3 linked regions of the Cricetulus griseus genome follow. The protein of the gene in region 1 interacts with the protein of each later gene in a biochemical or structural test. Links are inferred from orthologs where the notes say so. Each region holds a gene or a part of one and is shown in the gene's direction. Other genes may lie near its edges.

Region 1 (3,694 bases):
AACGAGGCTTCTGGGAGACCAGTGGCAGTCTACGCGGACACAGGAGAAACAAGTGGTATAGCTTGGTGGTGGTAGGGGCAGCCAGGCCAAGGAGGTTCGTAGGGAGCCTCACCTGGACGGTGATACAACCCGGTCACTGTGTTCCCGTAGAACCCCCACGCCAGCTGGATGCCCAGGAGACTTAACACCAACCACAGCAGGAGCAGCTTGAAGAGAGTCACTCGCATGTCTTGTGTCTCCCACTCCCGCAGGAATTCGCTGCCCAGGGTGCCCAGCGCTCCGAGCACCGACGCGGGCAGAGCTTGCAAAAACTGCCCAGACCAAGGTTCCGCCATGACTGGCCAGCGCCCCACCGGGTGTACTGTCACCGTAGTTCTCACTGCGCAAGCGCACGGTCTTCCGGGGTTAGAGAAGTAGGTGCGCACGCGTAATGTCGGGCAAAGACGATCTACTTCGCTTGCGCGAAGTGTTGGCAGTTTGGGGCAGGGCTTTAAAACCGCGCAGGCGCACCCATCCCCGCCCTGCTACTTAAAGGATGAGTGAATCGGTGAGTATAAAATAGCAACTTGGTCTTTTATAGCCCCGGAGTTCCCGTGATGCTCCACGCGGCCGCAATGATTGGTTAAGCGTCTTGCTTTTAGGGCGTGGTTGCGCTCTTGAGCAATCGTGGACGAACTGCGAGAGTGCGCGCGTGCGCGGGGCCGCGACTGGCGCCAGCTCGAGCCCGCAGGGCGCTCGGGGGCGCGCACGTCGCTCCCCGCCCTCCCGCCACCGCCCGCCCTCGTTCGCTCGCGCTCCCCGCCCGCCGCCCGCCGCCCGCGGTCCTCCGTCGGTTCTCTGCTGAGTCCGCCGTCTTCCGCGGAGCTGCCGGTCCTCGTCTCCGAGCTTGCGGACTCGCGGACAGGCGTCCTCGGCGCGAAGAGGCCGGACTTGGAGTGGTCGCCTTGAGGTGAGCAGAAGCATTCCCTCCAGCCGCCTCGGCTCCGGGGGCCCGGCCGGCCGGCCGCCGCCGCCGCCCGCCCGCCCGGCACTTTCCGGCACCCGCCGTCCCCCAGTCGCGGGCGCGCCCCACCTGCTGCTCTCGGCCGGCAGCCCTGGCCCCCCCTGACCGGGGCCCCGCGCCCGAGGCGGCGGCCCCGCCCGCCCCGCGCAGTCCCCGAAGCGCGCCCCGCCGCCTCCAGTCCCCCTTCCCCCGCCCGGCCGGGCCTGGTGGAGCCCTAGCCGCCCGCCCTCCCCGTCGCTTCCTCTCAGGGCTGCGCCGGGCTGGGCGGGGGCTCCCGGCCGGCCCGCGACCGCGCTGGGGGAGTCTGCCACTGTGAAGCGCGCGTGGTGTCGGGAGTTGGAATAGGCAAGAAACTCTTTTACAACTCCATTTTGCCTTTTACATTGAATGTGGATCATTAATCACCGTTTTATACCGGGTGAAGACAGTGAGGCTTTGGGTGGATTTTCTGTTTTCAATGCCGTATTCTTAGAGATTGTGTAAGTAAATGATTGTTTTGAAATCTTAGCGGTGAAGACTGTATGGGGGGAAGGTATTTTCCAGTTGAAAAAACATTGTAAAAATAATTTGGAGAGGTTGCATCGATATAGATGCATTTCTACTTAAAGTTACTGCTTTAATTAGGAATCACTTACAGATGGGTTCCCTTTTCAGGTCGTTTTCTTGAAATTGTACTTTTTGCACCCAAATATTTTTTGTTTGTTTTTGTTTTTTTGATTTGTTTAGTAGCATAAAGTGGGAAATTGGCATCTTTTTTTTTTTGTCCCACAATTGGTTCTACTTGTATTTTCTAATAGTCCTCACTAAGAATTTTAACCTCTGTTGGTTATTCATATGGTTCTTTCTGTCTTCTGACATTCTTTTGAAATAAGTGTTGTTTTGCAGGTTATATATAACCAGATTATATTCCTCTGGCAAACCTGGAGGGATGGGAAACTCAATGTAGTATGTGGTGAGAATTTTCAGCCATTAAGTGTCACATGTCCAAGTGTGAATGTACCGTGTGGATGGTTTCTCACCATCCACATGGTTATCTTGGTAGTGATACTGTCTGGAACATTTAACACAAGTATCCTTGTTAACTTAAAATACAAGGCTAGGTCTTACTATTGAAGGCTCTCAGAACTATTGTGAGAATTTGTCTACTTAGGTGTTTCTTAGGGGCATAAAATATATAGAGAGCTTGTGTTTTCTATTTTATTTTTTTTTTCTCTTTGGTGCTTGAAATTAAACTCAGGGCTTGGGGCATAGTGAGCAGGTGCTATATCTCTGAGCTTTATTCCAGCCCTATAACTAACTGAGTCAAAAGTCAAGTGTTCAACTTACAATGCCGCTACCCAGAAATCTCCTGGAGAAGGAAAATCTGCCAACTTTCCCCCATATAGACTGGAAAAGATTTAAAGGATTTATAGGCTGACTCCATTTGTAGGCGTGGAGACTGAGTTCAGGGACTTTTTTCAAGAGAAAGGTTTATTAGCACTCTGCAGAGAGAACAGTGGGAGAGACCCCTGCCTACTACTTAAGAGAAATGGACACAGAGTCTGACTTGAGCGCTGGAACTTGATTTGTAGATCTAGCTGTCCTGCTTCTGCCTTCTGAATAGTGCTGGGATGTGTACCACCGTTCCTGGTGAGCGTTAAAAATTTTGAAGGTCATATGTCTAGTTAGACTAAAACTACTTTTCTATCTGAAAAAAAAAGTCCTCCGTGTACTCTCGGCTAAAATCAGGGTTCCTGATTACTCTCTTGCTGTTCTTCACCTTGCAGATTGTGCGTATTTAGGGAGAATCTGGTCAGTTCACTTGCCAAACAAATTTCTAGTTTTTTGGGGTTTTTTTGGTTTTTGGAGACAGGGTTTCTCTGTGGCTTTGGAGGCTGTCCTGGAACTAGCTCTTGTAGACCAGGCTGGTCTCGAACTCACAGAGATCCGCCTGCCTCTGCCTCCTGAGTGCTGGGGTTAAAGGCGAGCGCCACCAATGCCCGTCTAAATTTCTAGTTTTTGTACATAGCCCTTTTCTGGCTTAGCCTTGTCTTTGAGTTTGTTGATTTTCTTGAGGACCCAGCCTCTGGGAGTTGACTGTTAACAAAGACAACATAATGAGGTCCCCCTAGAATGTCTTCAGGCTACTATAGCCCCTTTGACTAGATTTTAACTTGAACTGGTGAGAATGCACAAATCACATACATAAGCAGTGGTCTGTGCAGTGTGTGAGAATGGTTTTGTTGGAGTGTTTTCATAGTCCTTATTCTTTGTTCATCATTAATCCTTTTAACAGCCCATCCTCTCTATTAGCGGTGTAAATTTTTAGAAGAGTAAAATGTTCAGGTGTTTCTTAGTCCATGGGGTGGGGTGGAAGTAGGAGGAGGAGGAGGTTAACCTTGAGAGATTGGCTAACCTTGTTGCAAGACTGACTTGAGATTAGTGGGTTCTGTAGACAGTACATTTGGTTCCATGGCGTTATAACTGCTAGCAATGATGGCATGCTGTGTACAAATGCTGAATTTAAAAACTGGAAGTAGGTGAGGTGAGAAACCTATAATTGCAGTACTCCAGGAGGTAGGATTGTTAATTTGAGGCCCGCCTGGGCTATATAACAAAATCCTGTCTCAAAAAAAAAGTTCCTAGTAATGTTCTTCTCTCCTCTTTATGTTTCTACCCAGTAGAACTCAGATGTTGCTCCAAAGCATTAGT
Region 2 (3,749 bases), on another chromosome or scaffold:
ACAGCCTTATATACAGATGTACAGCACAGTGGAAGAACCCAAGGTGTAAGAGCTCATGTTTTCCCAGGTGTGGTTGATGCCAGTAGGGCAAGGCCAGGACTAGAAAACAGGATGTACCTGTGGTTATTGGCTGACAAGCAACTCACAGAGACCCCATGGGGGCTGGGGCCCAACACTCGGGAATATACACTTGAAATCCTTTTCTTTACTCTTAAGGGGTAGTCAGTCCCTCTCTAAAGATGCCATGTCAGGTAGATATAGCCAGGAGAATGAGAGAGATCATGTAAAGACCATAACCAGAGAACTCATGCAGGCACGTTTGGTTTATGCCTGTGGGGGAATCTTGGTTAAAAATATGGTGTGGCTGTCAGATTAATCTGTGTGTAAATTTTCTATCAATTATGTTACAAGTCACTTCAATGTCCAGAGTGCAAATTTCTTAAATGGTGATACCAGTAGAGTCTATCATGAAATTGTGAGGAATCAGTGAGGAAAGATGTTATGTTTAACATATAACCTGTCCTATAGTTTGTGCTGGGTATGTAGTAACTATTTAATTGCTGCTTAGGCTATTGGCAATAATTAGTCTGTCTACATAAACAACTAGAAAGCTAATCTAGGATTCAATGCTGAGTATTGTAACTCCATAGCTGGTCTAGATTGGCGCTGGCTTGAACTCAGTTCTTGGCACATAGTTTCTATATCAAGTAACTCATTTTTTACATTATTTTTTAATGCACTTACTGCTTGGTGTCATATACATACAAGTTGCATTATCCCACAAAACTTAGCCTTAAATTTTCAACCAAAATAACAGTGTTCCTACGATAAGAGTCTTGGTTCAGACAATGAAATTCGGCCTGGGGTGTGAGGTGGTCTAGCTCTGCGTGGGAGCCCAAAGGCTTCCTCTGTTCCAACCGCCAGGGGGCAGCACTCCCCGCTGCGGTGTGGAAGAGCAGCACCGCCCACTCTCCGTCCCCCCCTCCACGTGGGTCCGAATGGTTAGGCCCGCCGGGCAGGTAGCGCGCTTCCGCGGCGTCCCTCCACCCCCCTCCCCTGCCCCATTGGTAGGGGCTGCGGGTCCGGGCGGAAGTGGGGCAGGCGGGCGGGAGCGAGGCGTCACCGTTGTATATTCATGAGGCGCGCGCAGCCCAGCATGTTAATGAGGCGGGGCGCGGCGGCCGGCTAAGAAGGCTGCTGGGCGGCGGCGGTGGTTGCTGGCTCGGGCTAGCCGGGCGCGAGTGGCGTAGACCAGGGGTCCCTGGCCGGAGCTAACCAGAACATGGAGCCGTCCGGCGGGGGCCTGGGGCCCGGCCGCGGGACCCGGGACAAGAAGAAGGGTCGGAGCCCGGATGAGCTGCCCGCGACGGGCGGCGACGGCGGCAAACCCAAGAAATTTGTGAGTGTCCCTCCCACCCTGCTCCTCAGCCTGGCGGGGTGGCCGCCCTCTGAACTCGGGCGACCCTCGCTGCCCTCCGGGGGCGTCTGCCTGCCGCTGGGGAGCCGCCCCCGCGCCTCTCTTCCTGGTTTCGCTGAATCCTGGGCTTCGCGGTCCCACATTCTCCTCCTCCCGGACCTCGGGAAGCCCGGGAGTCCCACCTGGCCCTCGCCTCGGCCACCTTGGAGCTTCCCTCGCTCTGGAGTCCGCCGGCTCTGCGCTCCCGCCCCCGTGGCCCGCGGGCTCGCAGCCTCACTTCCTTTCTTCTGCCTCTAGTACCCCCACACATCTTTTTTTTTTTCTCTAAATTTCTTTTCTTTTTTTTTTTTTCTTTTTGATTCCCTGTAAGCTGTTTTGGGTCCATTTTCTCTTCTCACTCACACCCCGTTTGGGTTATTCCCTTTCTTCTAAAAGGTCATTTCCTTCCTTACTAGTGATCCCTTTCACCTGCTAACTTTCCTCCCGCCCTGTCCCCTTCCAGGGCTCTCAGCCCGGTGTCACCTGGTAATGCTTCCCCGCAGGAATGTTACCTGACTTGAGTCCTGTCTTCCCTCCTCCTTTGGACGTTTGTCCTTGTGATTACGGGTTCTGCCCAGGTCCTGTGGTCACTGGGGCATGGCAGTATATGACTTCCCAGTATTTCCCTATCCACAAACCTGTTTCTTACTGCCCTGTTGCTTATCACTTCAGAGGTTTAGAACTTTTTTTCACGATACTATGCCCTTCATGACCCGAGATGATGATTAATCTCCCTCTTGAACGAGTTAGACTTCAAGTCCAATAAGTTTGTGAGTAATTTGCTTTTTATACTTTTAAAAAATAACAACCATCTCCTTAACTCGCCTTTGGCCATCTTCTGTGTCTCTAGGTTCCTGACATCCCCTTTCCTATCTGTAGGAGAGTATGTATCTTTCCTTAGGTGCCGGTTATTGGGACTTTCGAGGTTCATGTAACGCGGTATTTTACTACCTGTTGCCTTTCCTAACTAAATCCTCTTCTGTCTCCAGGGAGCTACTTTGCTTCTTCCTGTAAAAACTTTGAAAGATACTGAGCAGTCAAAAAGGGAGTTTCTGCTCAGTTGTTGCCAGTTAATAACTAGATACTTAGTTTGCTCTTCCAGGTAGCACCAGTAATCTCTGAAGCTAAATGGCTTGAATTCTTCTTAACTCTTGCTTTCTTTCACGCACCCCCACCCCCAGCATTCTGATCCAAGTCCCCGAGTTTGGGAATTAAACTGATGAAGTGATGGAAGTGGGAAGAATATGTTTTGTGACCTGGAGGGTTGAATTAAAAGAGTGACTGACTCATCTCTTCCTATTTCTGGCAAGACCAGGTGCTCCTGTTCTGTCCTTTCTAGTGACATACAGGGTGTCAGTAACTGTTTGATCTGGCAAATACCTTTGTAGAAATAGGATCCTAGGTGACCACAGCAATATATCCTTAGGTTCTTTCTTTAAAGGTAGGAATTGACCCTCCAGTTTGAGAACTTTCCTTCCAAAATGTAAGTTTTAGGGCCTGTATTCTATTTCCGTGTCTTTTTGTTTTGATTTTGTTACCATGGATACTGTTTGACCTTCGTCCATACTGGCTATTTTTGCTGATTTGTAGTGACCTCTTATTACTGTTTCTTTTTAAAGTTTCATGTGTGCTTTTTTATTTTTTCTAATACCGTGTCTCATAAAATTGGTGAAATCTACTGGTGTGTGTGGTTAGGTGAGAAATCCCAGGAACCTCAACTTCTTTCCACCTGTTTTTTTGGCACAGTTTTGTGTTCGCTGAGTGGATTTGGCCCAGAGTTGTTGATAATTTGCTTTATAGAGGGTGGAGCTGAACCTACTTCTCTTTTACTGAGGTTCTGGTTTTAACCCTTACATTACTGAATTTTAAGAACTGGGTATTGCAAGTAGTGAGGATTGGAAGGTTTCCAGGGAAGCAGGCTTCTTCACATCCTAATTGCTAAATATAATCTACCTTAAGGCATCAGGATATTCTTACTGCTTTTTATGAGAACTATGAAAATGAGAGACAAGGAGCATTGCAATCCACTTCTCTTTGTCTCTGTATATATAAGTGTGTGTGAGTGGGTGGAGTGGGTGAGATTGCTGGGGTGCTTTTGTCACCCAGGGCTCAGTTTTCTTGAACTACTGGCTAAGACCAATCTCAAAACTATTTCGCCTACTCCACCTTTTCTTAAGTGTGGTATCCGCCAGAACTCCCATTCTGAATGTACTGTACAAATGTGGCCTGGACTAAGTGTGCTTGAAGGTTTGCATTTGAGTGTTTGTAGTCCTTAGGCTGCTGTTACACCTTT
Region 3 (3,649 bases), on another chromosome or scaffold:
ATAATTTAAAGTAAAAAATCTATTATGCATGTATACTAAGAGCTTACATAATAAGATGCAGTTTCACAAATTGAAAATTCTTACATAAAAGAAGTAATTTATTGTAGAACCTAAAGGGAAATACATTTGTATCTTATTGTGGGTAATCTGCATAATTCCTAAAAACAAAACTGGCACTTTCCAATTAAAATGTGCATAAATTATATTTCAAAAATCAGTTCATGACTTGATCCCAAAATACAAACTATTGTCTAAGGTATATTTAGTAGTAAGTTGTCAAAACCTTAAGTATGTTTTTATATGTAAACATTATTTTTAACGACCACAGTGTACTCTCTTATGTGGATGTGAAATCATATATACTTTACTTGTTCTTATGGTCTGGATATTCAAGTCATTACTAATTTTTTATATGTCTTTTTTAGATGATAGCAAATGAACATTTTTCTATAGGAAGCATGGGTTACTGTGCGATTAAGGAACCCCACCTTCCTAACACTTGACACAGAGTGAGTGCTGTGGTCACCAGCCTTACTGCCTTGTGGTAATCTTTTGAAAAGTCAATGACCTGATGTTCTTATAGTGTCCGGCACACATGAGTGCAGAAGGGAAGCCATTCCAGACCTTCTCTGGCCCTGTAGTGGGTGAAAGAAATGGGTGTTGACATGAGTTTCTGAGGGAGTCACTGGAGCATTCTAGCAGCAGGACAGCAGTCAACAGTATTTGGAGAAGAGAAACCTGAACTTAGACTGCAGTTCTAAGGGGGTGTGAAGTTTCTCTGGTTATTGATTGTTCTCAGTGTGTGTTCTGGCCTTGAACTTTAGGAATGCATTAGCAGAGATTATCTGAATATAAGTTTAAGTTAAAATTTGTAAGTTTGATAAAAGTGATATATAATTGAAAAAATTACAGTTTTATTTAAAGTGTGATTTGGGTGTGTACTTTGTTTACTGTATTTGTATTTCATATATTTTGTGATATTTTATTCAAGTGTGTGTCCAATGATGTCTTTTCTGTTTGTTTGTTTTGTTTTTTTTTTTGATTATCTTAGTCACGTGAACTGGAAATTTCAGTTTATTGGCGTGATTGGCGATCTCTGTGTGCTGTAAAATTTCTGAGGTTAGAAGATTTTTTAGACAACCAGCGGCATGGCATGTGTCTCTATTTGGAACCACAGGGTACTTTGTTTGCAGAGGTAATAAATGTATTTTATTTAATGCGCATAACTGTAGTAGAAATTGTGTGTGTCAGCAGCATGCTGTGGAAGGGGCAAGAGTGTTATGTCAAAAGATGAATGCCTTCAACTCTGCCACTCTGCTGCACATTAGGGGTGTGACCTTGAGAACAATCCTTTGTCCTCTCTAGGTCTGTGTTCTCGTCTGCAAAATGAAGGGGTTGGAGTAAGTTATAGATAATATACCCCTTAAGTTCTCAAACTTAGGAGTCTAGTAGATTGCACAAAACATAATCCTTACAGTTTTCATGTCAACTAGGGTTTTCTTCACTACAGGTTACCTTTTTTAATCCAGTTATTGAAAGAAGACCAAAACTCCAAAGACAAAAGAAAATTTTTTCAAAACAGCAAGGTAATTACTAAGAATATAATGCAGCCTTTTATAGAAAATCTAGCTGTCATTCTAAAAGGAATGGCATTTTCTTTTTAGTGTCCATTTCTAACATTTTTAAGTAGTTTTTAAATATAACCTTAATAATAGAATCCATTACTCCATTTCTTTGTTTTGTTTTATTTGGTTTTGAGACCATCTAGTAGCCTGTGTGACCTCGAATTATGCTGTCTGATCTAAACATGGTCTCACTGCCTTTGTCTCTCAAGTGCTTGGATTATAGGCATGCACCACCATGCCTGGCTTCATCACTGAGTTTCAGTAATAATAACACACGATTGTCCTCATTTCCCACCCACTCGCTGCTTTCTGAGCTTATTTGAAGCAAACTCAGATATCACTGAGTCCTGTTGTTCATTACCATAGATGCCTTAAACTAATGACACCAAACTTCTAGAGTTACAAAAAAAATCCAAACTTTATCTGCTTTTTAAAATTATTTGAGATATTTATGCTAACTTTTAATAAAAAAACAAAAGCTGAGAACTAGAGAACTAGTTTTTAAATTACAAAATTTATTTGTTCATAAATTATAAACTGATGAATATGGGTTTTTTTTAAATTATGGCTTTTGGTAATATATAAAGGAATTACATATCTTGCTTTCGTTATTCACTTTATCTACAGGCAAAACATTTCTCAGAGCTCCTCAAATGAATATTAATATTGCCACGTGGGGAAGGCTAGTGAGACGAGCTATTCCCACAGTAAATCATTCTGGCACATTCAGCCCTCAGACTCCTGTGCCTGCTACAGTACCCGTGGTTGATGCACGCATCTCTGAACTAGCACCTCCAGCCAGGTATATGTCTTAGAAGGCTTAAGTATGTCTTACACGGCCATTACCGTGACACCATAACATGATTACAGCAGCTGCTATATGAAGTCCCAGTCTTTTCCAAGTAGAATTGTGAAAATACTGCACTACTTGTTTAAAAGAAGTTAGTTTGCTTTTATTTTGCAGCTACTTAAAAATAAAGACTTTGATTGCTGTTTTGGTAAATTGCTTTGTCTTCTGAAAGTGATTCTACAGTAACCAAATTGGACTTTGATCTTGAACCTGAACCTCCTCCAGCCCCACCACGTGCGTCTTCCCTTGGAGAGATAGATGAGTCTTCCGAAGTGAGAGTTTTGGATATACCTGGACAGGCAAGTATTCTAACCCTTCCTTCTGCAATGCCTTCTTAACAGTATCAGCATCGTAGTGACAAAAGTGTACATTTCAATTAAAATTGCCAATATGAACTCTGAGTTTAGTGTTTTGTTTTGGTTGTTGTTATTGTTGTTTTGAGTGGGGGGTTGTTTGGTTTTTTATGAGTAAATTTTCTCAAGGAGATGAAGTTGATGGGAGTTGGCCACTTTCTTCATGTTGGAACACTGTTACTAGCCTCTGTATTCTCACAGGCCAAAGGGGATGCAATAAGCTGCATAAATTGGAAGATAATATGTTGTTTTTTTCATGGTTTTGTTTTTTCTATAAGAACAACTAACCAAGTCTGAAACTTCTTCTCTAATGCTTTTGGAATTGTTTCTTAAACTTTATGATTATGAAATAATGTTTGTTTGTTTTGCTGGAGATTCCTCTAGCTTATGAGCACTTGATATTTTACAGAGTTCAAAAACTGTTTTTGATATTGAGAATGACAGAAGTAACATGCGTCCAAAATCCAAATCTGAATATGAGCTTGACATTCCTGACTCAGGTCAAAGTTGTTGGAGTGTCCGAGAGGAACAAAGGTAAGGCACAAGCAGGTGCATTGCCTTGCTGATGTAGTTCTTCTGTAGTTGCCTCACTTTTAATTATTACTATTTTAGATCTCAACCAAGGTTTCAGTTCAATCTGCAAGACTTCAGGTGCTGTGCTGTGCTGGGAAGAGGACATTTTGGAAAGGTAATCCATGAAAATTTAGGAGTACATACAAGATTGGTAAGTCAAATGAAAATTAATTATTTTAATCTTATTTCAGGTGCTGTTGGCTGAATATAAGCACACAAATGAAATGTTTGCTATAAAAGCCTTAAAG

The links.
Region 2: the proteins of Rhoa (region 1) and Diaph1 form a complex in vitro, tested with the Homo sapiens proteins (2 studies listed by BioGRID and IntAct, with this or other methods). The link is inferred for Cricetulus griseus from reciprocal best matches to the Homo sapiens genes RHOA and DIAPH1.
Region 3: the proteins of Rhoa (region 1) and Pkn2 form a complex in vitro, tested with the Homo sapiens proteins (2 studies listed by BioGRID, with this or other methods). The link is inferred for Cricetulus griseus from reciprocal best matches to the Homo sapiens genes RHOA and PKN2.

What each region holds. Positions count from the first base shown.
Region 1 is NC_048597.1:216,485,535-216,489,228, forward strand, and holds the start of Rhoa (transforming protein RhoA), read left to right. Parts: upstream 1-807; 5' UTR 808-949; intron 950-1,344; exon of another isoform or gene 1,345-1,482; intron 1,483-3,694. Other genes in the region: Tcta (T-cell leukemia translocation-altered gene protein), read right to left, coding at 113-335. UniProt on the Homo sapiens protein: Small GTPase which cycles between an active GTP-bound and an inactive GDP-bound state.
Region 2 is NC_048595.1:199,707,041-199,710,789, forward strand, and holds the start of Diaph1 (protein diaphanous homolog 1), read left to right. Parts: upstream 1-1,282; coding exon 1,283-1,399; intron 1,400-3,749. UniProt on the Homo sapiens protein: Actin nucleation and elongation factor required for the assembly of F-actin structures, such as actin cables and stress fibers. Binds to the barbed end of the actin filament and slows down actin polymerization and depolymerization.
Region 3 is NW_023276806.1:16,327,562-16,331,210, forward strand, and holds part of Pkn2 (serine/threonine-protein kinase N2), read left to right. Parts: intron 1-1,051; coding exon 1,052-1,195; intron 1,196-1,510; coding exon 1,511-1,586; intron 1,587-2,252; coding exon 2,253-2,427; intron 2,428-2,647; coding exon 2,648-2,774; intron 2,775-3,237; coding exon 3,238-3,362; intron 3,363-3,440; coding exon 3,441-3,516; intron 3,517-3,592; coding exon 3,593-3,649. UniProt on the Homo sapiens protein: PKC-related serine/threonine-protein kinase and Rho/Rac effector protein that participates in specific signal transduction responses in the cell.